3 linked regions of the Saccharomyces cerevisiae S288C genome follow. Each later gene encodes a partner of the first gene's protein in a complex. Each region holds a gene or a part of one and is shown on either strand. Other genes may lie near its edges. The genes, in order: DRS2, YNR048W and CDC50. A codon is read from its position in the direction of its gene.

Region 1 (12,463 bases):
TTGTCTCCATTCACCTCAGTAACATTTACTTTTTTCAAGTAACCTTCTGTGACTTCTAATGTGTAACAATTCAGGTCCATTAGTAATTCTAGAAGATCAGGATTTCCTGATTCTCTACGAATTACATTGACTAGCTTCGGTTTTACTTGTTGTCCTGCGATTCCCAAACCTTTCACTTTATCATTCTTATTAGCAGAATATGTGGTGGTGAAATCTTGTGCTATTACGTTTTCAATAAACGCTAGTTCTTGCTTCATTGATTTGACTTCATCACTTAATCTTGAAGGTTTGTTACCTTTTATAGCAGCCAAACTTTGCATATGTGACTGTATTAAAGAAGATTGCTTCTTTTTTCTCTCCTTCAAGGCATTCTTCTTGTTTAAAGTATTCATGATTTCAACTTGTAACGTCTTCAGCTTGGAAATCTTATCATTATAACCATTTACTATCGTTTCGTACTCTTGCCTTTGCTTAGATGGAATATTTGACAAATCTCCCTGCAACAACTGTGTTAATCTTGTATATGAGTCATTTAACATCTCTAGATTCAAAATGAAAGAGTTCTTAAATTCGATAGCTTCCTCCAGTAATCCAATCCCGTAACTAGCCCTAATATTCCGTTCTTCAACTTCTTTTTGCAGAACTATATACCTTCGTCTAGCTAACTGCATTCTCATGGCGCTTTGTACAAGAATGGAGCTCCTTTTCAATGTTCTGTAATCTGTTTTGTGACCATATGATCTGATGTAGCTTTGGATAATTACTGCCGCCATGAGCATGAATTTCCTGTTAACACTATCTAAAATCAATTTTCTTTTACAGGTACATTGTAGTTTTATTATTTGCCCAATGGCAGCTCTATAGTATTCCCGTTTCCATAATGCTCTAATGTTCGTTTGTAGTAATATGGCAGCTCTTGTCTTGAGCTCATGATCGACCCTTGTACGAACCAACAAACTTCTAATTTGGCTTTGGCACTTCTTTATTGATTCCATGGTCTGCAAATACTGAAGCCTATAGTATCTTGCCCTTATCTTTTTCTGTATTATGATGCATATTTCATTCATTTTATTAGTCCTTAGCTTTTCCAAAAATGCAAGCATTCCTGCTTTAAAGAAAATTTTGGTATTACCAATTTGGTATTTTGCTGAATCAGAGATAGTAGCATCTAGAATAGATTGACAGAAGTTGACGATTGCCTCTTTTGGGAGGTCTGGATTATAAAGAATTCCACTCCATAAGCTGTAGTCCGTCAGGAGGAAATATCTTTGAACGAATTCGTCAAAAGTCCATCTTGATGGAAAGCCTGCACATGAAATCCTGATTGTTTCCAGCACACCACAAGCTCTTAATTGCGATAAGACCATCAAATTATCGAACTCCCATGGCTTTTTTTCAGAATTTGGTTTTATGCAACGAATATAATGAACATTAGTAGAATTTATGATGGCCATCAATTCCCCGAGCGATTTTTTGAACATAGATCCCAGGGTTGGTTTCTTTTGACTTAATCTTGCTGGGATCATTATCTTTTTTTCAGTATTTTGCTCTTCAGGAGCATCGTCACTCCTAAGTTCTCTGTTGTCTAAAATTTGTTTGAAAATTGGATTTGTCGTTGCTTTGAAAACATCCAGATGACCTAGGGAAACGCTGTCTCTATTCTTTTCAATAAACCCTTCAACTTCATATTCTACATCAACAGCATAATGGCTTACTATAAACTTCGTTTGTCCGAATCTTGGCTTCGAAAAAACTTCATTTGAGGGCGGTTTATTAAAGGCAGAATATAGTTTTGAGGCCCATGATTCATCTGAGCCTGATGGTAATCTACTTTCTTCATCTAATAGAGAAAGTATTCCAAGTTTATTCTCAATCAAGTCTATGCAAGGTTGGTTGTCGCTGAACTCAATGAAAGACCACTCAATTTCCTCCTTTACATATTCTTCTTGCTCCAATTTGAAAACGTGCTGGTTGAACTCTTGTTGTAATTTTTCATTCGCATAGTTTATACAGAATTGTTCGAATGAGTTTTTCTCAAAATGCTCAAACCCGTAGATATCTAAAATACCAATAAAGGAAAAGACATGATCTTGTTGATCCAGCTCAGGATCGTATAATGTCTTGTTAATGTTGTCTACTAGCCAATCAAAAAGCGTGGAATAAATAAATTTCGCCACAGAGTCCCTAGCAATTAGCGCTTGATTGTAATTCAAATTAGTGACAATTTTTTCAGACCTTGTGACGATTTGTTTCTTGACAATCCATTTTGCAAAATTGAAGGGATCAATACCCAATAATTCACATGCGATTTGCAGGTTTTGCTCTTCCGATGATAGTGATGCGTCGTTTCTAGTCATTTTCATCTCGATATTACCTATATGTAGCAAGCCTGCAAGAATTTTGAAAATTCCAAGCTGAGTCTCGTGGTTTATACCTACTAATGACAGGGCATCAGTGGTTATCTTGTATTCTCGAGCTTCATCTATACCAGCTATGTTCGGCTGTCCACCTTGGTTAGTATAATGGTAGTCCTTGGGAGATGACAAATGCAGTTCTTGTTTTACCGGTTCTGGCAATCCTTCCAAAATTTGGTAAAAAATATGGTAATTTCTTTCTGTCTCTGGCTGATAAACTAACCTGGATTTTTCCAAGAGATAGGTTCTAATTTTGGACCCCCTGATGGTAGTATTCTCATCAAATAAAATTTGCAGATATTTGCCGAAACGAGAGGAATTATCATTTCTGGTAGTTTTGGCGTTACCAAAGGCTTCCATGATCGGGTTAGTAGCTAAAATTTGGCTCTCGATTTGAGACATTTCCACTTCCCCTTCACGATTGTTGCTTTCTTGGACTGAGGCAAAGTATCTCATAATGTATTTAGCAGAGACGGTCTTACCAGCACCGGATTCACCACTGACTACAACAGTCTGGTTAGCCTTTTCATGGACCATGAACCTGTACGCCTCCTCTGCTATGGCAAAAAGGTGCGGCTCCAGCTCATCTTTACGCTTACTAGAATAATTCTGTATCATCTCGCGAGAGTACAAATGGTCGACTTTATCAAAGGGATTAGCGGCAATAAGGACAATACCAGAGTAAGTATATATCTGTCCATTCATGTATCTTTTTTTTATGGCATGCAGCACTGCCGGTTCGTTCAGATATGATAGGGTGGTTAAGTCATCAGTAGACTCTAAAATAGGTGGGTTTCGTAGTACAGGTAGCGTGGGATGATCATCATCATTTTCGAAGCTATTTGTTTCAATGGATACAGTTTCTCCATCCTCCAATTTCAACTCTAAGTGGAACGTTCCTTCAAAGAAGTCATTCTTGGTGACTTCGCCGCCTATCCAGCCTTGTTCTTTGTGAGGGTACCAACACTTAGTTCCTACTTCAAATGACATGCGGGAGAACTGGTTATAGGATTTTTTTTGTTTTTTTGTGTTTTAGAATTAGATTGAATTATAAAAAGAAGAACAAAAGGGTATCGTATTGAAAATAAATTGTCTCGCCAAACTGGTAACAATGTTTTCAGCTAGAACAATAAGAAAAGAAGAGAAGGTAAAAAAAAAGGTGATAACTCCGTAGGAATTGAGGAATTGAGTATGCAGAATCAGAATAAAGGCTGACTTTCAAAAAAAGGTTGTATTACAATTGCAGGTTTTCGATAAAAGAGACCCTATTCTCATCTACTACTGCTAAACTTCGAGATATTTTCGAATTTTTCAGTCTTTTCTTTTTTTTTTTTCGCATTAGTTCAGAACCCTAAAGAATGGTAAACATTCTATGGATAACCCGGAGAGTGAGTTTCTTAAAGACCTAGTTTTATTTTAAGGGTTTTAACTCAATCTTGATGTTTTCATTGTGTACCCTAAAGAAAGTTTAAGAATAGCCCTAACTGTTACCTTTTGAAATAAAATAAGGGGAAGGTCAAAAAGCTATTGTTCTATTGTTATGAAACATTGTCTCAAAGAGTAAGAATAACACAAATTGATGGCAGTTTTTTACGTAGTCCAGTAGTTGTCCAGGTACAATGCAAAATGCTCAAATAAAGAGCTCTTCTAAAGGCAGCGGAATAGATGGTACAGATCGCAATAGCAAAGATGGTGTAGAAAAGAGACCCCTGGAAGATGTAAAGCAAATGATTGACGCTGGAACACCAGATGTTGGCCACAAATCTACTGTTGAAACTAAGCCAAACGTTGGATGGCAAGCCTCTCACAGTAATTTGGCTGCATTACACGAAAAAGAGCAGAAATATGAAATGGAGCACCATCATGCTCGTCATAAACTGCATCGTCAAGTTATTCCGGATTACACGTCTGCCTCGACCGCAATGTTCAGCGATTGTATGTTCAACGCAGCACCAGATAAAGTACGAAGTCTCAGTACGATGAAGTCTTCTGGACTCTCGCCAAAACACCCATTTAACGTAGTCGCCACCTTTAAAGGACCATTCCCGCAGCATAGTGTAGAATCAAAGCCTCTCGATGGTGGATACTCTGCCAAAGACCATTTTCCCTCATTTAAGATGTTGCAAGCCCAGCAGCACCCAGCCCATCGCCATTACAAAGACAACGACAAGTACGGTCTTAAATCACCTTCCCGGTCCTTCGTGAAGGACAAGAAAAGGTTGGTTCACCGGTTTTTGAAATCCATGGAGCCTTCTTCGTCTGGGCAATCTAAGGATTCGTCTGCACTGGCGCCGGCTTTCGATCCAATATTGCCCAATGTTATATCTAAGCCTTCCAAGCGACCCACACATCATTCGCATTCATCAGACGGGAGTTCTAGCACGCAGACAGATATATCGTTACAGAGCTTGCTTTACCATGATCTTGAAAGCTCACCAAAGAAACATGTTTCGCCCTCAAGACCGCCCTCTGTAGCTTCCGAATCCTCTCCTGCCGTTGCTAATCCCATTGGGCTTTCGCCAAAAGACGCCTGCAATGCATCGTTTTCGCAGTCGTCCTCATCTTCGTTGTCTTCTTCTTCATCGTCTTCATCATCGACGTCATTCTCACAGTCAGTGGCTGTTGATCCTCTTGAACCTCCTGGAAATATCACATATAGTAGTTCGAATCTTTCGCTAAATTCAGATGAATTAGACTACTATCAGCGTCATATCGGATTGCAGTTACAGCAGACAGAAGCTTTACTAAAGCACAGTTTGAAAGATGAGGTTCTGAAAGATGAAAATGACCTTGTTAAAAACATTGCAAATTTTGACAAGATCGTTAAAGAGCTAAGGGACTTAAGATCCAGGACCATTGGATGGAAAGAGCTTGTTGAAGAGGATTATTTAATGAATTTGAAACAGGATTTTGACAAGGAAAACCCCGAATCATTTGAGGCACGTTTGAGTGATACAATAAATACAAACGTGGCAAAATTACAAGATTTAGAGAAAAGAATGGCTTCTTGCAAAGACAGGTTGGCCTCTAGGAAGGAAGTAATGAGGAAAATGGAAAGTTTATTGTCTTTGGAGAATTCCTTAATGATATCCAAAAAAAATGTAACATTCGCATCTAAATACCGCAACGAGGCCCTTGATATTGTCTTTTTAATTATCATCATCGTCATATGCTATACCTTCAAGCATCTAGTATCGCATAAATAAAAAATAGTATTTGTATATCAAAAAATGATCCTGTGATTTTTTCATATGTAACGTATAAATGTAAAAATGTGCTTCTTCTGGTATTTTTAATCAAGTGGAAAGATGAGTGGAAAAAAGGGCAATGAAATAGAAAAGGACAGGCCTGAAAGGGAAGAATACAAGAAGATTGAGTATATTGGACTTCACAGTAACCGTGAAAAATGGCACCAAGTATAGCAACGGTAAAGATAGCCAGGGACATGGTTTTGCCATTACGTATATTTGTCAATAGAAAGCAGATCCTTCAAACCAATGATAAGACTAGCAATAAGTCGAATGCCACTATATTTGAAGCACCATTATTATCAAATAACTCCATAATCTGCTTAAAATCACCAAATACAAGAATATATTTATCGCAACAAGATAAGAAGAATCTTTGTGACGAGATCAAGGAGGACCTGTTATTGATTGTTTACGAACTAGCGTCCCCGGAAATCATCAGTTCCGTACTCAGCAAAATAAGAGTTGGTCATTCTACTGATTTCCAAATCAACGTTCTGCCCAAACTTTTTGCAGGTGCCGATACGGATAATGCGGTAACTTCTCACATCCAGTCTGTGACAAGGCTGGCTAAATTCAAATACAAGTTGCACTACAAACATAAGTGGGAGCTCGACATATTCATCAACAGCATTAAGAAGATCGCCAATTTAAGGCACTATTTGATGTTTCAAACATTAACATTAAACGGTTTCTCATTAAATGCAGGACCCAAAACGTTATTAGCTAGGAAAATAGAAAAACAGCCCCAGGTACCTAATTTGTTAATAGAAAATGGGGACGCTGATGCCCTGGATACACCGGTGGAAGAGGATATAAAACCTGTAATAGAATTTATGTACAAGCCTGTTATTAATTTAGGTGAAATTATTGATGTACATGTGTTGCATAGGCCTAGAAGACATAAGGTACGTACCCAGTCGAAGCAACCCCAGGAGGAATGAAAAACCGATAACAAAGTGATGGCTTAATATTATAACTTCTATATAACGGATATATTTTATGGTAAATGTACATATTTCAGTAATGGTAATAATGACTTTTCTTTTTATCTTATTTTTATTTTTGTATTTTTTGTCTTCTGCTCTTTGTTTCTGTGCCTCATATATCAAATGAAATATCATCTCTCGAAGAACTGAATCTATTTGAATTTTGATTACCATCAGCAAATGGATTTTCAATGAACGGTTCTGCACTTTCAAAGTCGTTACTTCCCAGTCCATTATTGTCATTAAAGGGGTTCGCCGAAGCATCTTGTAATTCACCGTACTTACCTCTCTTTTGAGTAGTATCATACATTCTGACAATTTTTTCTTGCCCACCCTCTTCAGCCTGTGAAAAGGCAAATCCTCTTTGTTTTTTCATTCTTTGCACTTGCCTCACCTTCCTGATGGCATTTTGAAATTGCTGAACGTGCGGCCTAGAGTCGCTGATATTGTATTTCTGCATTTCTTGAATAACATGATACGTTTCTGGTTCATACATTCTTTTATAGTACTTCCATAGAAAATCTCTTACCAGTGCAAAAATTGGTAAAACGATCAAAGTTAACCAAAATACACCGGATCCATACGTGTGTTTAACCACACCATAATACTCTCTTGAGATGTTAGCATGAGGAAATATAGAAGCATAAATTGGGAAGAATATTAACCAAAATAAGAGGGAACCAGGAATGGCAATTAAGGTGAATTTCGTCCATTGATTAGTTACCAAAGCAGCCTTTCCCAAAACAATAATGACACTTGTAGTGTAGACAGTTACACCCCAAGACCAATGATCAGCTAGTTCGCCGTGCATATTTAAGGCAAACCCATATCTGTAAATCAATATGGTGCCAATAAATACTATTGCAGAATGGAAAAAGCCATTAATAATCCATCCCCAGAAGATGTAAACAGAGAAAAATTGACCCTTCTGTCCTAATTTGTACAATTGTGGGTACCGCTCAAGTAATCTACTACTAACAAATTGATCAAATACACCAATGACAAAAGGGGGCCAAACAGTGAAGAATAAGTTGTAGAAACTCATTGTCCATGATTCCATAATGGATTGACCTGAAAAGGCATTGGCAAAAACGTACCAAAACTGCGTCATGTATAATGCTGTATTCTTGTAAAAAGAGTACAAAATTGCGACAGAAATTCTTTGATAAGACCAGGAGCCATGGACAAGTAATAGTTTTTTTAAAAATTTAAATTGGCCAACAGCTATATCAGCTGAACGAGCCGCTTGCATACCTTCCATACCACTAATACCGACACCAACATGAGCTGCCTGTATCATACTAACATCGTTGGCACCATCGCCAATGGCTAGCAGTAGTGAAGACGACTTTCTTTTTACCATTTTAACAACCAAGGCTTTCTGTAGTGGAGATACACGGCAACATATAACCGCTTTACAAAGCTTCGCCACAGTTAGCAAATAATCTTCTAATTCTGGTTCCAAGGCAAAGCCTAATGACTTCCCATCAATGACGAGCGCTAAGGTATTCATATCATGTGTTGACAATTGATGCTCGTTTAGAGCGTTAATCTTCTCTAACAAATTTCTCTCAGTATCATCTCTGGTTTCCTCGTTGATGATCAACAAATTCATGTCTTCACTCAATAAACGGCAACTCATACCAATGTTAATAGCAGTTTCCTGTCTGTCACCAGTTAAAACCCAAATTTTAATACCCGCTTCTTGTAATGTGTGGATAGTTTCTGGAACACCGTCCTGTAACTTATCTTCAATAGCAGTTGCACCAATTAATATTAGATTTTTCTCGATTAGATTTGCGGCTTCGTCTAGCTTCTCGGCTCTGTTATCTAATGTTGTGGCAGCCTCATTATAAATGCTATTCCATTCTTCATATTCTCCTTCAGAGATATCTCTCATCGCCAAACACAACGTCCGCAAACCCTCAGATGCATAATCTTCTAAATGTCTCATTGTAGCTTCTACATATTGATTAGCTTCATCATCCAATCTTTCCAGAATGACAGTATCAGCACCTTTACAGAATAACTTTATCGAACCATCCGGAAATCTAAATATAGCGCTCATTCTCTTCCTGGTGGAATTAAATTCACAAATGTTAAGTAGTTGATACTCTTTTTCCTCGCCAGTTTCCTCCAATAAAACAGTTACAGAGTTTGGTTTACGGATGATAAACTTATACCCTAAATCTGCACCACCTTGAACGAGGGCACCTTCATCTGGAGAGGCTGCTTGATATTTAATAGATCCATCGCTTTGAAATTCTGGAATGACAGTATGACAGGTAGCCAGTAATGTTAAGAAGTCATTGATAATAGGTGAATCCTCATCAGAGGGATCATTTAACTTTTTCTTCAAATCGTCAAATTTTCTATAACCAACTTCAATCCCATCTTCAACAGTGGCCGTTTTATCTTCAGGTATTTTATCAATATAGCAATGGCCTGCAATAGAGCAGGATTTAAATTCCATAATATTTCTTGTTAAAGTTCCTGTCTTGTCACTGAATATATATTCTATTTGACCAAGTTCTTCAACCAAAGAGGATGTACGAACCACAGTTGGGGTATCAGTTTTTTCGTAGTACAAATCTAGATCTGAACCTATCATAAAAGCCTGATAATATTTGATTAATTCAACGGTGACAAATAGAGAAATAGGAACTAGATTCGAAAATAGAATCCAAAATGTTAAAAAGTCTTTGAAGAATAAGCCAGCCTTGTTGGTACCCTCCAGGTAAAGGTACGATAAATGTTTGGCATCTGCAGTAGACATAATAACATTACCAATTGAAGAAATTAAAATTAGCACGATTAAAACTGTGAACAATGCAATAATCTGTCTGTTGATAATTTTCTCAACCGCGGTTCTTTTAATTGGGGTTGCAGTAGCATTACGCAATAACTTAGTTTCATGACCAGTGAAGATAACTAAACCAAATATCCATGCAGTATTTCTTAAAGTTGCACCTCTTAAAATCATTTGGTCAGGAGATAACGGTATTTGACGATCATTTAAAGTCATTGTACCTTCATAAGTATACAAGCTAGAGTTCGGCTGTTCGGAAACAACTTTTCCGTTCATGTTCTTCAAAGTTTTAACGTCTATAAATTTGGCAGTTTCTACTCTCGACTGTTTGATTTTCAAATTTGTTTCACCATCCAAGTTGGCAGTTTCAATGTAGCAAAGACCCTCCGGTTCCGAAGATGACAAAATTATGGTATCAGCAGGAATAGGTTCCTCTGATTTTACTCTAATTATGTCACCTACACGAATATCAATCCATCGTTTCTCAACAAAGTCATCATGTGCTTCTGAAAATATTTCTGCTGTCGAATTATTTAATTCTTTATCAGAATTAGCTCTCTTGATATCTTCGATACATTCCTTCATGGCAGAAACAATCAAAACCACTAATAAAGTACCAATTGTGGTGTATCTATTAGTTGGCGAGACGTGAGGCACCTGTTGAATGGCAGATGTACATAAAAAAAACAGATTAGCGTATTTGGAAAATTCTTGGAACAAAAATTTAGGCAGAAAGGTCGCAAAATTATACTTGGTGGTAGATATATGGTTGTCACTATAACCGAAGGAGGAATTAGCGAGAGAATCGTTGATGTGGATGACTCTTGGTTCACCATTGCCCTCTGCGTCGCCAACGTTCTTTCTTAAAATGTACCGGTTGAAAAGAATTTTAATGTTGAACTTATTCCTCGAGTCTAGATAATTATCGTCTAATTCGTTATTAGTCACCGCATTGTAATGATTCATTTCGAAACTTTCGGGCCCTTTCTTCCGTTTGAACGTAAAGGCATTTTTGAGACCATTACCAAACCTAGCAAATAAACCGGGAGGCTTGACTGCTCGTAGGGATTGTGGTTGATATGCATCTGAGTCGAATCTATTGGCATTCCAAGACGTTTGGTCGTCATGGTTATTGCTCATAAATAGATTTTCATGGACATCATTTTCAATGTTATCATCATCAGCGTCTAAGTCGATAGTCTCTTCGGGAAGTACATGACTTGGTGGTATATAATTCGCGTTCGCATGTGAGTTGGTGACCTTTGAACGGGATCCAGAATGAGAAGTCGTGTCGTCTAAGAAGTCAATATCGAAAAGCGTGTCGTCCTCCCCAGGTTTCCTCTTTGGGGGGGTTTCTCTGTCGTCATTCATGGTAAAATCAGGGAATGAAAGAACCTACCAGTAAATTATTGCTTGGCGCTAACCTCTATTTGGCGTTACTGGCTTCTTGTTGCACTATTCCCCTTAGAATTGCCAACAATTGTTGATTATATGTTTCTTCAACTTAGTGGCATTAAACAGATTTGGGTTTTCTGGCAAAAAAAGCCAATCACGTGATCAGGAAGATTTCAGTGATTTACGCTTCAAATAACCTTTACCTCAATAATCCCGTAATAGTAAGCTTCTAATAGTAAGCTTCTAATTTGCAATGTTATTAGCCCAACAGCTACTAAAGGTATTATTTTTTTTTTTTTTGATAAGAAATTTAAGTGTTACAGAATGGGCCATCTTACAAAAATAATAGTCTTTATGTATTTTTATATATGTAAAAGAATTGAAATATTTTATAACTGGTTGTTATTATGGTACAGTGCGCTGCCCAATCCACGTGGAAAAATCCTGTTCATTCAATAATAGAAACTGAAATCATGTAATGTTGCGTAGTATAGTGCGTGAGCTTATTGTGCCACTTCTTGCTCAGCATTTTGAACTTCGTGTTCCTCCTCGTATTCGATTTCGACTTTAGGACGTTTAGTTTTGGCACTAGTTCCCTTCTTACGTCTCTTGGCTGAATTCTTATTTTCTTCATCACTATCGCTGTCGCTCTCGCTTTCACTGTCGCTTTCGCTTTCACTGGCGCTGGAAGCTTCTCTGTCAGAGTCAGCTAACCACTTTTCTAAGTCATCCACGTCAACGTATTCACCTTCGCCATCATCTGCAACGTATTCAACTTCCCCATCATCACTTTCCTCTTCTTCATCCCAGTCTTCTTCCTCGTCCTGAGAATTCTCCTCTTCCATTTGACCCATTATCTTCTTCCAGACCTTTTCGTCAACATTTAATGGTTTATCACCGTAAGCACCACTCTTTAATCTGTCCATCAATTCTTTTTCGATGGCTTTTTCAATCTTGGCAGCTACCAATGCCTTTCTCTCCCTGTTTTGTTCTCTTCTTTTGACCTTTGGTGCTACACCAACGTAGTGTCTCTCCTCCTCCCTTAATGCTAAACGTCTCTCTGTTATCATGACCTGCGTCAATTTTGTAAATCTCTGTTTACACTTATGACGGAAAAACTTGCTCCAATGTAGTAGGTGTTCGTCGATCTGTTGTAAAGCCTTCGTGTAATTTTTGGATAGTTTGATTCTTTCCCATAACTTGGCAGGAGTGTGCGCTCTTTCAGGCGTCTTCATATACAAGTACAGTTTCCCATTGTCACACTTCACTGTTGCATACTTGGAGTTGGCAAGTGGGCATGATTGCCTTGTACACAACCCAGTGACGTTATACTCATTTCTGCAAAAATTTTGACCATTAGGTGCCTTAATTCTATGAGAGCAGAAACTTTGATTAATCACTTGCCAAACAATTTCGTCGGACATATCCTCGTTGTATTCTAACCGTTGTAGTTATGTACTGAAGAGAACACTGTCAAAAGAAAGAACTAAGCAATGCAATATCTGCCTCTATACCAATCACTTTTTCATTTTTTTTCAAAAGCTCATCGGAAAATTTTTCAAAAAAAAAAAAAAAAAAAAAAAAGGTTTATTACCCTACTGCATTTTG
Region 2 (6,018 bases), on another chromosome or scaffold:
TTGCGGTTACTACTGACCACGAAGCAATGCGTTTAGTAGTGAAAAGAATTACTCATACTCTGGAATCGAAATTCCGTTGGAAAAATTCGCTTTGTAGTGAAAAATAAAGATGTCAATAAAGGGTATTGAGAATTTCCAATGGAATTATCAGCAATAGATGATAGAAAGTAGCACAGAATTTGGCTTAATGGTATATAAACCGTAGGGTCCTGGTAAAATTACATGGGAAGGATCCTTAGGCAGTAGGGAAAACTTATCAGGACAATTGAGTTATATTAACGTATTATATATTTTAATATGGGAAAGAACGTTTTGTTGCTAGGATCTGGTTTTGTTGCACAACCTGTTATCGACACATTGGCTGCTAATGATGACATCAATGTCACTGTCGCATGTAGAACATTAGCCAATGCGCAAGCATTGGCCAAGCCCTCTGGATCCAAGGCTATTTCATTGGATGTTACCGATGACAGTGCCTTAGACAAAGTTCTGGCTGATAACGATGTTGTCATCTCTTTGATTCCATACACCTTCCATCCAAATGTGGTAAAGAGCGCCATCAGAACAAAGACCGATGTCGTCACTTCCTCTTACATCTCACCTGCCTTAAGAGAATTGGAACCAGAAATCGTAAAGGCAGGTATTACAGTTATGAACGAAATTGGGTTGGATCCAGGTATCGACCACTTGTATGCGGTCAAGACTATTGATGAAGTTCACAGAGCTGGTGGTAAGCTAAAGTCATTCTTGTCATACTGTGGTGGTTTACCAGCTCCTGAAGACTCTGATAATCCATTAGGATACAAATTTTCATGGTCCTCCAGAGGTGTGCTACTGGCTTTAAGAAACTCTGCTAAATACTGGAAAGACGGAAAGATTGAAACTGTTTCTTCCGAAGACTTAATGGCCACTGCTAAGCCTTACTTCATCTACCCAGGTTATGCATTCGTTTGCTACCCAAATAGAGACTCTACCCTTTTCAAGGATCTTTATCATATTCCAGAAGCCGAAACGGTCATTAGAGGTACTTTGAGATATCAAGGTTTCCCAGAATTTGTTAAGGCTTTAGTTGACATGGGTATGTTGAAGGATGATGCTAACGAAATCTTCAGCAAGCCAATTGCCTGGAACGAAGCACTAAAACAATATTTAGGTGCCAAGTCTACTTCTAAAGAAGATTTGATTGCTTCCATTGACTCAAAGGCTACTTGGAAAGATGATGAAGATAGAGAAAGAATCCTTTCCGGGTTTGCTTGGTTAGGCTTGTTCTCTGACGCAAAGATCACACCAAGAGGTAATGCTTTAGACACTCTATGTGCACGTTTAGAAGAACTAATGCAATATGAAGACAATGAAAGAGATATGGTTGTACTACAACACAAATTCGGTATTGAATGGGCTGATGGAACTACCGAAACAAGAACATCCACTTTAGTTGACTATGGTAAGGTTGGTGGTTACAGTTCTATGGCCGCTACTGTTGGTTATCCAGTTGCCATTGCAACGAAATTCGTCTTAGATGGTACAATCAAGGGACCAGGCTTACTAGCGCCATACTCACCAGAGATTAATGATCCAATCATGAAAGAACTAAAGGACAAGTACGGCATCTATCTAAAGGAAAAGACAGTGGCTTAAATAAGAAGAAATGTATCAAAAGGTTTATCATACGTAACAGTAACGGCACTTTATAAATCTTTCTTTAGTATTACTTATACTTTCATAAGGAAACGTAAAAAAAAAAAAACCGGAAAGAGGGACAAAATGGACTAGAACGTAATTGAGAGTGTAGTTCCTGAAGCTTGAACCGCTAGTAAGTCGTCTACCTTTAGTCTAAAAAGTATTGGCTATTGCATTTTATAGTCTTGCTTCTGATCAGAACGTATTAAATGAGCTCGTAAAGACTCTTAGGAGTTTTTCACTTTTAGAGATTAATACTATTAGGAAAGGTGCAAAAAAATAAAACGCCAACTAACTATTAGACGCTAGGCCCTAATACCAACTACCAGTATAACTAAGATTTCACGCATATGATGAGTCAAGTATCGCATTCCCAAGAAGGATCCGGGCGATTTTGGAACAAGTTTAAGTCGTCAACCAAATCGTTATCTACATCGTTGGCACATTTATCCATTAAAGCAGAAAAAGATGGTGATACTGTAAATACTACATTGGTCCATAAAGGGCTTGTGAAATTCTATGAAAATCAGCATCCTTTCCAGGGGTTCCCAGGATGGTTGGGGGAGAAGGAAGATTTACCGAACGAACGTAAAATATTAGATACTCAAGTGAAGCATGATATGAAGAAGCAAAACTCGCGTCATTTCTCGCCATCCTTTTCTAACAGAAGGAAGGCTTCTTCAGAAGATCCTATGGGTACACCTTCTTCAAACGGGAACACACCGGAGTACACGCCTGCGAGTAAATCGTTTCAAGATATATACAATAATCATACAAGCTCCTCTAGCGCGACACCGAGAAGAGCTTCATCACGGCCGACTAGACCTTCAGCAGGCCAAGAATTCAGGGCAAGTCTCGGTCGAAGTAAAACGTCGAACAGTTTCAACACCTCCAGCACGCCAACGCCGCCACCAGACGCAAGTAGTGGAGTAATGGCAATGAAGGACAGACTAAAGAGACGCAATAACGATTATGGATTTTAAATAGCACTATACCTTGCTGAAATAAAGCGAAAAGAACATTTAATGAATATATAGGTATCGTATATGTACTGAATAAAGTGTTTGATACAGAATGCAAGGAGATAATATAGTATGGTATATAACCTCGTCCTTATTTTGAATATACATGAAATTACAACGCTTCCCTAGAGACCGAATCAAACGCAGGGATTTTATAGTAAATGATAATCAATCATAAAATTTCTCTCAATGGAATACTAACGACACTACTCTCATCGAATGGGGTATCGCTGTTCTCAAAATTTAGGTAGCTATGATCATGCATAGGTCTTGGTTTGAAGATGACTTTTATCAGGAATAGTATGGCGAAAAGAGTTGCAATCCCGGCAACAATCAAATAAACAATCCCTAATGCCTCGTTTCCAGCACCGATAATACTGTTTGTGGTTAATACAAAAGATTTTGTTCCATAGAAAGATCTTACTGGGTAGTTGAGTTCTATATCAGCAATGTAAATACCCTTACCTAACCCATTGGTCTCATTTTTCATTGCTAGCTTATAGAAGTTGGGCAATGCAGCAGTTCTCATCCATATTTTGAACTGTTCCCAGTTTTGTAGGTCTGGAATGTTATCGTCAGTGTAGCCATTGGGAAATAACTTGGCCCAATTTGGGGGCGGTACGATATCGGATGCATTGTATTCGGTCTTTCCATATCTGTGGCTGTCGGTGTCCCACGCAATACCTTTTGTGGTAAGCAAATAATCTGCAGTATCGTTTACACCAGTAAGTGTTGTGCCGAATGTATCATTGAACATCGAATTTGCTATCAATCCACAGGGGAATATGGTCTTATTTTCTACCGTCCTTAAAGGGTCACAGTTTGGATCCAGATCATTTCCGATCAATGCTTTTCCTTTTAATTGGTCTAGGTCAAGAGATTGCACATATTCTCTATAGTTTTGATTGAAATTTGTTAGGCGGTAATAAACATAAGTAGATTTCTTGATATGATTTGGAACTTCGAACTGTATTCGACAAGTTTGATTGCCTAATTCAGGATCCGTAAGTACCATCCATTGAGGTTGGACTGCGACTTTCTTACTGAAGTGGTAGTCCACGTACTCGGAGGGAATCGTTTCAAAATGCTTCGCCGGTGCCAATGCATCACATTCTGTGTAGTTTACCACTAGTCTTTGGACACTTATCGTGCTGACCACCAGCCCTATACCAATGGGTGCGAAGACGCATGCCATCAAAATAAGCAACGGCAGTACGCTCTGTGGCGACAAGATGGGCTGCCAGGCTTTGAGGCGCTGTTGTCTAAACGATGTGTTTGCCGGTTTCCTGGATTTTTGAGCATTTTGCTTACTAGACAACTGTTTTTTCTCTTTCCACCTTAATATCAGTCCCATATTGCACAAAAAAATCTAAGTTCCAGCACTTTATTCTAGATGTTAACTATTGATTAGATATCTATTTGCTTTTAACTTGTATATTGCGCCATCCTTCTATCGTTTCTTCAACTATCGCGTGAAAAATAGTACGCAAGCAAATCGAAAAAACTACATAGAGTTCATTGAAAAGAAAGGCAATGCTTCATCTGATGTTTACACAGAATGCTAGAAATTGAAACACCGATATATGATTTATTTAAGTTACACACTACTGACTAACTGACAGAGGAAAGAAAATAAAGAAAAAAAAATAGGTAGATAAGGATTTTGAAAAGAAATAGAGTTCGTTAAATGTATGATGAATAAATGAGGGAAAAAATAAGAGTGAAAAAAAAATCAATAAAAAAAAAAAAAATACCGACACTTATACGTCAAAGCCCCCTTTATCTCTTAAAAAAGGTTCGATGACTATTACTCCTCGATCTGTTGGAGTTTGGAGTGTATGCAATTTTCCCATAAGAATTGGTATTACCATAAATCATTGAATTGTTATCCTGTTCCATCAAACTCATTGAATTGAAGTCATGGAATGGATCATCTTCAGAGACTTCATCGTCGTATTCAACTCGTTCTTCAAACATATTTTTCTCTTGCTCATCGAGATGTTTATGGCTGTCTTGACTAGTCTGTCTCTTCTTATTAGATGATAATTTAGCAAAATCATATCCATCCTCAGATAACACTGGTATCAGAGGCGGTTCTTGATTTCTCAGCAAAGACCATTGGACTTTCTTGAAAAAGGGGTGTTTCTTCACGTCGGCAGCGCCCATTTTGCAACCCAGTCTTTTAGATTCATTTTTTGTCAGTAATTTTTTGATCAAATCCTTACAAGTTCTGGAGATTTCATTGTTATTGGGAAAACTGACCTCATTTTTCAAAATATTCGTAAAAGTTTCATTTGTGTTATCGCCTTTGAATGGAGTGAAACCAAATAACATTTCATAGATCAAAATCCCTAGCGTCCACCAATCGACCGCAGCGGTGTGGCCATTACCTCTTATGACTTCAGGGGCAATATATTCTTCAGTTCCGACAAAGGAATTGGTTCTAAACCCATCTGAGCATATTTTGGTATCAACAAGGGTTGATTGAGCGGAACCCTTGACAACAGGAACCTTGGAATCTTTAGCCTGAATAGACAAGTCGAAGTCAGAAAGCATGATATGGCCTGATTGATGCAGCAAAATATTCTCTGGTTTTAAATCTCTATAGATAAAACCCAACAGATGTAAATATTCTAGTGCTGCTGTCACTTCACTGGCATAAAACCTGGCATCGTCTTCACATATACATTTGGTTTTCCTTGTTTGTAAAGCTCTGAAAAACTCCCCGCCCATACAGTATTCCATACAGAGATACAAATAGTCTTCAGATTGGAACGAATGGTATAGTGTGACGATGAAGGGATGATTGCTGGTGGCAAGAATCTCTTGTTCTGTCAGAACACGTTTGATTTTATTTCTTTTTATCATTTCGTCTTTACTCAAGACTTTCAAAGCATACACTCTATTCGTCTTTTTCTCTCTTACTAAGAAAACTTTACCTACATCACCTTGGCCCAGCAATCTTATTTTCTCAAAAGACTGTGGTCCCACCATGATATCTTGAAATTTATTGCTGAAAGATTTAGTTCTCAAACGTCGGGACCTCCTAGGTTCTGGAAAATCAGAAATCTTTGGAGAGGGTTCTTGAGGGAAAAATGAGTTTGGAGGAGGCACTGATTGGCCTGGGATTTTGTCGTTTATATTACTGGACCCTGATGTTTTCCTTGCTGAAGAAGATGTCGGCGATGTGGCAGATGCGAGTTGCAACCCGTTTGGTTCTGAAGCTGCTCTTCTTAAAGGTATTTTTATCCTTGGATGGGTAGCTTTACCATTTTGTTTGGTAGGTGAAAGATTTCTCGTTTTATTGTCGGTTGTC
Region 3 (6,719 bases), on another chromosome or scaffold:
CCTTGCATTTCGTTTCCATTAAATTTAATGACTGTTTCTCATTTCTTATGACATTTTCCTACATCTTATAGATGATATACTAGTAACGTGAGTACTACTATATAGATGATATCAGGATTTTATTTCATCGGCATAGTTACTACTGCTTCTACCATTGAAATCATCAAAAGTATGTATTTTTGTTGAATTCAAAGAAGTCAATCTTATGTCTAAGTTACCCCACTTGCTTGTTATAAAAAGCCTCCAGACTTGATGTATATAGCCATTTTTTTTTTGTAAACATAACAATATAATATTTGGGCTTGTCATGATATATTTCTTGCTTAGTAAATAGACGTATGTATTTAACTAACTTTTGGAAACGTTGTAAGTTCCATTAATAATTTTGGTCAACATAAAGTGGCGAGAAAAACGCCCTGAAAAAACCTTTGTGGTGTATACACTCAATGTGGATGTTGCTTTAAAATGGATTGTAGTGTTATCTTCACGCACGCTTAAATCATTGCAAAAAGTTTTTTTTAACGTAAGTGAAAAAAGACACCAATGCAGTTTTATTAGTACCTGCCAAACAGATAATCGATCATTTATGAGGTCTTTTACTTCACATTGAGTTTTTGTAGCTCAACAGTCTATTTATCAAATATACTTGTTGGAGACCTTACAAAAGTGTCTTTCTACATCTCAACTTAAAGTGATGAAGTTGACAAGGGTCTTACTCTGAAATTCCATCAGAGTAACTACGGTAATCTATATGGATTTCTGTTGGTCTTTAGAACAATCTCTGAGGATGAATTCAAGACTCACCTTCCAGTACATAGTAATCGTAGGCCCTTGTCTGTTATTGTAGAAACTTCTTCGTTGAATTTTAATAATGTGAGACGGAAAGAAATACAACCATATGAACAATTTTTTTAATTGTTAGTTATCCTGCGAACTGTGAGGACCAGTTTAATATATGGGAGGAGTTGAAAAAAATACAGTTTTAAGACTTTAAGCTTTCACGCAATCACTTACATTCTTTTGTGTGTATGCAGGCTATAGCTATCATTGAAATAGTAAAAGAAAGCAACTCCCGTCACTTTTACCATTGGTTCTAGAATGGGTTTGCAGTATGAAAAAAAATGAACGTAAAGAATATATTTCAACTGTCATTTTTAGCCCATTTCGAAGAATGATTGAGCACCGTCATTGATCGCTTAAGATGGCTAGCTTCAACATAGCGGAGTACATTGGAAAATCAGTGATCATTCTGTTGACTTCGTTTCAAATAATTCAGGTCAATATAATGTTAGAGTGTTCAATTTAGTGGGCAGTTTGTAACATGTATTATTGAGCAAGTGAGCTCTGATATCAGAGACGTTAACATGCAACTCAACCAAGTTGACTCATTCAAGTTGTGCTAAAATGGCCGTAGTGGAGGGGAGGGCCAGCGATGCAGGCGACACCAGCAACAGTTGAAGTTAGTTTTACCATTATGTTCGCTTTGCTTGTTAGTGCTGAATAGACTATACTATAAAAGGAGCAATGCAGGATATTCTCCAAGGCATAATGTGTGAAGTGGCCTATTAGTATGAATATCTTAGCAGTTGTTGCTGCTCAAACGAATCATTACACATCTCAAATCATCCTTTGTTCACTTTCTCTTTCTGCACCTACATCACCGTCTTTAACTGCCTTTATTGAGATGTGGCTGCTCCTGACCTGTTCACCTTTTATAAATCTTGCATAGGAAGGCATGCATTGAACTTTTTTTATTTACTTTCGTATGTTCAGACGAAAAAAAAAAATATTTCAGGATTACTTTCCGAAAGAATCCTTTGTATACATGCAATATCCTTAGACCCAACTTGATTAGAACTGTCATCCAGAAGCCCAATGCTCAAGCTTTGAATATCATATTTTAAAAGTTTTTTATGACAATGAAATTTTGTTTCTCCAAGTCAGGACACGGGGAAAATCTTTACTTTTAGTGCTATCCATAAATATACAGTTCTTTAGCCCCATATTTTATCAGTAAAACTACTTATGGCTGTCCTTACCGTATGCGGTATAATGAAACTTTTGAAAGGAACATCTTAATATACCGCCTTGACATATCCGGGTAATAATAATACAATATTCGGAAGTTTTCTAGCATTAAATGGACAGTAAGGTAAAGAAATGAGATGTGGTTGTTATATGGAGATCGTAGAATAAAAAGAGAGACACTTACAGCACTGGTGCGATCCATAACCTGAATTCATAATGCTGGTTCCACCTGCTAACTTTGGGATTGCTGAAGAAGGAATATATAGATGTTCTAAAGTGGAGACATTAAATTTATCCTTTCTGGAAACTCTCAATTTAAAGACAGCTATATTTATTGGAGGTCAAGAACCATCCAAGTTTTTCAAAGATTTTTTCACAAGATCATCCATAAAATGGATTGTTTTAAGGATGTCTGATTTCTCGGCTGCGGCAGTTCCGGTAAAAAGCTCTTCTGTATCTAACGCAAATTTATATTCGAATAATAACAGTACTCTATCATTACAGGAAGAAAAGAAAAAATCCACTGCAAATGGGTCACAAAATTCTACTACAGGGGATCCTGTAATTCAGGAGGAATTGGCTTACCACTTGACTGACAATGATGACTTAATGCTGATTAAGAGCACGTGTTTAAAAAGAACTTTCAAAACATTATTGAATGTGGATAATTATAATGTTTTATTGGTAGATAAGACCGCGTTGGTCATTGGTATACTTCGAAAAATTCAGAAATGGAATATTGCATCAATCATAAATGAGTACAGATTATTTTCTGGTAAGAATAGAAATTATTTTGCGGAAACATTTCTAGAAATAATTAACATTGAGATAGAACAGGAGAAGGATAATAAGACAATTGTGGACAACAAAGCAAAAAAATTGCCCCTTGAGAATAATAGGACGCATTCGATAGAGTATAAGGCCAATTCTGGCAAACTTATTAGAGTAAATGAAGATGACCTTTGCAGAGAGCCAGAAGTGCCTCAGCGGCTTTTGACATTAATAAATCAAATCGAAACCAAAGTGAAAAATAATAAAGTATTACAAGTAAGTGGAGTTCTAGGAGACGATTTGAAGAAAACCTCTTCTGACCTAGGAATTTTTGGCCATAGGTATAGATTAGCATTTAATAAAAAAGAAAATGGAGATTATGGCTATTATAAAGCAAGGGGAAAAGATAACGTCAAAATAAGGATACCCTGTGATTCTGAATTACCAGATTGGTTCAGGTTTCAACGAGATTTGTGGGAAAAAGAAAACGTTCCGGAAGAGCATCACTTTTATAGGGAACATATTTTTACATAGTTTACATTTTTACGTATATGTATAGATGATTTCATGATAAACGTTTTCCACTTTTCTATCATTTCATCATCTAAATGGGAATAGCAAACCCTGGGAGTTCTTTGTCGCACTATTTTCCAAGCGTAAAAAGGCATACTTCAATTTTTCTTTTGTTTACGTTTCAGGAAGTCAACAAAACTTGTTTACTTATAAACACAAATACCTACAGGCACTAAAGTTTGTTTTTTGGCCTCTATAAAATTTCCCTCAATGTTGTATTCTCTGCGTGTACATCCTCATAATCCTCGTTTTCTTCATCATCAAAATTCAAATAAGTGTGATCACCCATCGCTCTTGGTTGGAAGATTAATTTAACCAAAAAAATGATGCCAAATAAGGCGCAAAGCCCTGCAACGATGAGGTACAGTACGCCTAGTGACATATTTCTACCACCAATAGCTCCATTTGTAGTCAGTACAAATGATTTTGTGCCACCAAAGAGTGAAATCGGATAATTCAACTCAATGTTCATTTGATATTTACCCTTCGGTAAAGAAGCAGATTCATTTTTCAACGTCAACTTGTAAAACTTGGGAAAGGCTGCAGTCCTCATCCATACCTGGAACTCTTCCCAAGTATGGATATCAGGAAGATTTTCATCTGTATACCCATCGGGATACTTCTTCATCCAGTTTGGCGGTGGAACAATATCGCTAGCATTATACTTGGTGGTTTTAAATCTGTGACGATCAATACTCCATGATATATGCTTGTTAGTTAAATTATAGTCTTCTGTGTCATCTATACCACTCAACACCTGAGAAAATGTATCATTAAACATGGAATTAGCGATCAACCCACAGGGATATATTATTTTGTCTTCCCTACTTCTTATTGGACTACAGCTTGTATCCAGATCATCTTTTTTGATAGGCTCCCCTAATATTTGCTTTGTGTCAAACGATTGGACATATCTGCGATGATTTTGATAAAAATTGGTTATTTTATAATATATAAAAATGGATTTCTTGATATCGTTTGGGATTTCGAACTGCAGTTCGCATGATTGTTCGCCATTTTCATTTTCGGTTAGCCTCCATTGTGGTTTATTTTCAACTTTACTTTTAAAGTGATATTTAATGTACTTCTTTGGTATATCTTCAAAAGCAGTTGTAGATGCTTTTGTATCACAATGACTATAATCAATTGTTAGATCTTGTACCTTAGTAGCGCTTACAATGAGTCCAATACCAATAGGAGTAAATATACATGCAACGAATATTAACAACGGAAGCACACTTTGAGGAGACAGTATTGGTTGCCATGCCTTAAGCCTTTGTTGTCTAAACGCTGTGTTAGGAGGCTTTTTAGAAGTGGGGCCTTCTTTCGTGAGCGGTGGAGCCTTACCTCTTTTGAACAATGAAACCATATACAAGCTGTTCTATAGAACTTCAAGTTCGATTACTCAATTATTCTTTGTTCGCAGTGCGTCATGGACATAAGGTAATTGCAGCTCTTGTTTGATATAAATTGATGCTCATTATTATTATTATTCTCCAAAACAATAATACGGGTAACACTAATTTTCAGTAGTTCAAAAGTGAAAGCGACCCATATACAGTAAGAAAAGTTAATCGAAATTGCTTCTATTCTTATTCAAAATAGTATTCTCTGAAATATAGTATTATACAAGTTATATTTTTTTTTCTGAAATCATGATTTTCGTATATAAATAAATGCAGTTTTTTTATGCGTTGGATTGTAGAGGGGTTTGCCTTCTATTGATGGTGGCGGATTGGTCATCTTGTTCACTGGTTGTGTATTTTTTGGAATATTTTACTAATTGTTGTAAAATTAGTTTAATTTCGGGAACACTTTGTACAAAGGGCAGGTCTAAAAGATTAATATCGTTATTGTTTATCAACTGAGTAAAGAAAACTGAAACACCCCAGGTATGTGGTTTGTTAACAATAATTCTTTTTAAAAAGTTTCTTAAAATAATTTCTTGGACTTCAAGTTTTTGATCATTCCATTCGTCACTTTTGAACATATTCATTAACACAAAGCTGAACCAATAGGTGTGGATGTTTGGATACCGCAATTGTTCCACAATAGACAGAATAATTTGATATTTCATTTCGATGCTACCATTTTGAATCAGATTGAACAATAAAGTATAATAAGAAGACTTCGTATTAAATACCGCATTTGAAGAAGTTCTCTTATACTCTATTCCAGCTTCAATGCCCACATGTAATACAATAGCGCGAATTAATTTACTATCAACAGATAAAAAGTCGTAGCCTACGCCCTTTTTTATGTCATAGGTATCCTTGTAAATAGCGCTTAGTATTGTTCTTAATAATGAATTTGAGGGAATACGTAGGTAGTTGTCAACTGGCTTTTTCAATGAGTGTAAATCAATTACAGGATCAAAGAAGACTTCAGGTAGTTCTTTACATGCTGGAATATCCTCCATATTAAGATCCACGTCATATGGGTTGGGAACGGTCATATTCTTAGGAATAGCAGATAAAATAACATTCTTTAGTTGGAAATATGTTGGAGGTAGATTGTTCATTAATTCATAGTGATTTTCAATCAAAAAGGATGGCATATCATTCGAAATGCCTAAAATAACACGCAGTGTTCCCTTATAAACAACCGAAACAGCGTCAGAGACTGCATGTTTACTTGTGTATTGGTCCAAAAATTTAAACAAATCGATAATCAAAAGCATTAACTTTTCCCAACCTATTTTATTGGGTAATCTTAGCATAATTGGTAATAACATTCTGTGTGATAATAGTGTCACCCATGCAAATGAGAATCCAGGGAAGGCAAATGGTTGCAGAGCGTGCAAATATCCTGAGAAAGTGTTGTAAAATACAGAATCAAATTCGATCAGCTCCTGCCTAGTGCTGGAATCAGATATTCTAACAAAATTGTGCGTCCTGATGGTAGCCCATTCGTATAAGATGTTAGAAAATAGTCTGAAATATGGTCGTTCATTGAATGTGGTACCCTCTTGGCTATGATCCTTAGCAAACACTAAAACGATCACAGAAAATATTGCATTTATGTAATCTCTTCTTGTATCATCTTTGAAACCCTGTAAAATCAACAATTTTATAATTAGCGATCCTAGAGCATCAATAGCGATGAAAACCTCATCAGTCGGGTCACTTTCTTTGAATGAAGAAACTGATAGCTCAAGAGAACTTTTGACAAATGTAAGTAAATTATCAGTATCGCTGATAACACCCTTTTCGACTAATTGCTTGATAAAAACAGTTGTGATTACGTCGTTATTCTCAACTCTTTGAAGTAATTTTACCCATTCCGTAAATACTAAGTAAAGCTTTTCTGTTCTTGTGGTTTTGGTACCTTTCCTCACTGGCATTATC

Evidence for each region.
Region 2: DRS2 (region 1) and YNR048W share a complex: the UniProt entries of both Saccharomyces cerevisiae proteins name them as parts of the flippase complex.
Region 3: the proteins of DRS2 (region 1) and CDC50 are in contact, whole or in part, in a cryo-EM structure (PDB 6PSY), measured with the Saccharomyces cerevisiae proteins. Residues at the interface, in NP_009376.2 of Saccharomyces cerevisiae: His241 (codon at 10,111), Val242 (codon at 10,108), Ser243 (codon at 10,105), Pro244 (codon at 10,102), Met469 (codon at 9,427), Lys475 (codon at 9,409), His476 (codon at 9,406), Leu477 (codon at 9,403), Ser478 (codon at 9,400), Tyr479 (codon at 9,397), Leu480 (codon at 9,394), Tyr481 (codon at 9,391), Leu482 (codon at 9,388), Asp494 (codon at 9,352), Thr497 (codon at 9,343), Tyr520 (codon at 9,274), Phe523 (codon at 9,265), Met524 (codon at 9,262), Ser527 (codon at 9,253), Asp528 (codon at 9,250), Leu529 (codon at 9,247), Tyr532 (codon at 9,238), Glu534 (codon at 9,232), Asp537 (codon at 9,223), Pro539 (codon at 9,217), His1000 (codon at 7,834), Trp1003 (codon at 7,825), Tyr1029 (codon at 7,747), Ala1032 (codon at 7,738), Asn1033 (codon at 7,735); in NP_010018.1 of Saccharomyces cerevisiae: Lys21 (codon at 4,681), Lys22 (codon at 4,678), Pro23 (codon at 4,675), Pro24 (codon at 4,672), Asn25 (codon at 4,669), Phe28 (codon at 4,660), Arg29 (codon at 4,657), Gln30 (codon at 4,654), Gln31 (codon at 4,651), Leu33 (codon at 4,645), Lys34 (codon at 4,642), Ala35 (codon at 4,639), Trp36 (codon at 4,636), Gln37 (codon at 4,633), Pro38 (codon at 4,630), Ile39 (codon at 4,627), Leu40 (codon at 4,624), Ser41 (codon at 4,621), Pro42 (codon at 4,618), Val45 (codon at 4,609), Leu46 (codon at 4,606), Leu48 (codon at 4,600), Leu49 (codon at 4,597), Val52 (codon at 4,588), Phe56 (codon at 4,576), Leu63 (codon at 4,555), Phe138 (codon at 4,330), Tyr140 (codon at 4,324), Lys142 (codon at 4,318), Asn145 (codon at 4,309).

What each region holds. Positions count from the first base shown.
Region 1 is NC_001133.9:88,867-101,329, forward strand, and holds DRS2 (aminophospholipid-translocating P4-type ATPase DRS2), read right to left. Parts: upstream 10,832-12,463; coding exon 6,764-10,831; downstream 1-6,763. Other genes in the region: MYO4 (myosin 4), read right to left, coding at 1-3,404; FRT2 (Frt2p), read left to right, coding at 4,034-5,620; DNA-binding protein SAW1, read left to right, coding at 5,821-6,606; ribosome biosynthesis protein MAK16, read right to left, coding at 11,359-12,279. UniProt on the Saccharomyces cerevisiae protein: Catalytic component of a P4-ATPase flippase complex which catalyzes the hydrolysis of ATP coupled to the transport of phosphatidylserine and small amounts of ethanolamine from the lumen to the cytosolic leaflet of the trans-Golgi network and ensures the maintenance of asymmetric distribution of phospholipids.
Region 2 is NC_001146.8:709,668-715,685, reverse strand, and holds YNR048W (putative aminophospholipid translocase regulatory protein), read right to left. Parts: upstream 4,057-6,018; coding exon 2,875-4,056; downstream 1-2,874. Other genes in the region: LYS9 (saccharopine dehydrogenase (NADP+, L-glutamate-forming)), read left to right, coding at 298-1,638; MSO1 (Mso1p), read left to right, coding at 2,031-2,663; serine/threonine protein kinase FPK1, read right to left, coding at 4,482-6,018. UniProt on the Saccharomyces cerevisiae protein: Accessory component of a P4-ATPase flippase complex which catalyzes the hydrolysis of ATP coupled to the transport of phosphatidylcholine and small amounts of phosphatidylethanolamine from the lumen to the cytosolic leaflet of the trans-Golgi network and ensures the maintenance of asymmetric distribution of phospholipids.
Region 3 is NC_001135.5:284,784-291,502, reverse strand, and holds CDC50 (aminophospholipid translocase regulatory protein CDC50), read right to left. Parts: upstream 4,742-6,719; coding exon 3,566-4,741; downstream 1-3,565. Other genes in the region: YCR095W-A (uncharacterized protein), read right to left, coding at 1,706-1,864; OCA4 (Oca4p), read left to right, coding at 2,245-3,333; CCR4-NOT core subunit CDC39, read right to left, coding at 5,060-6,719.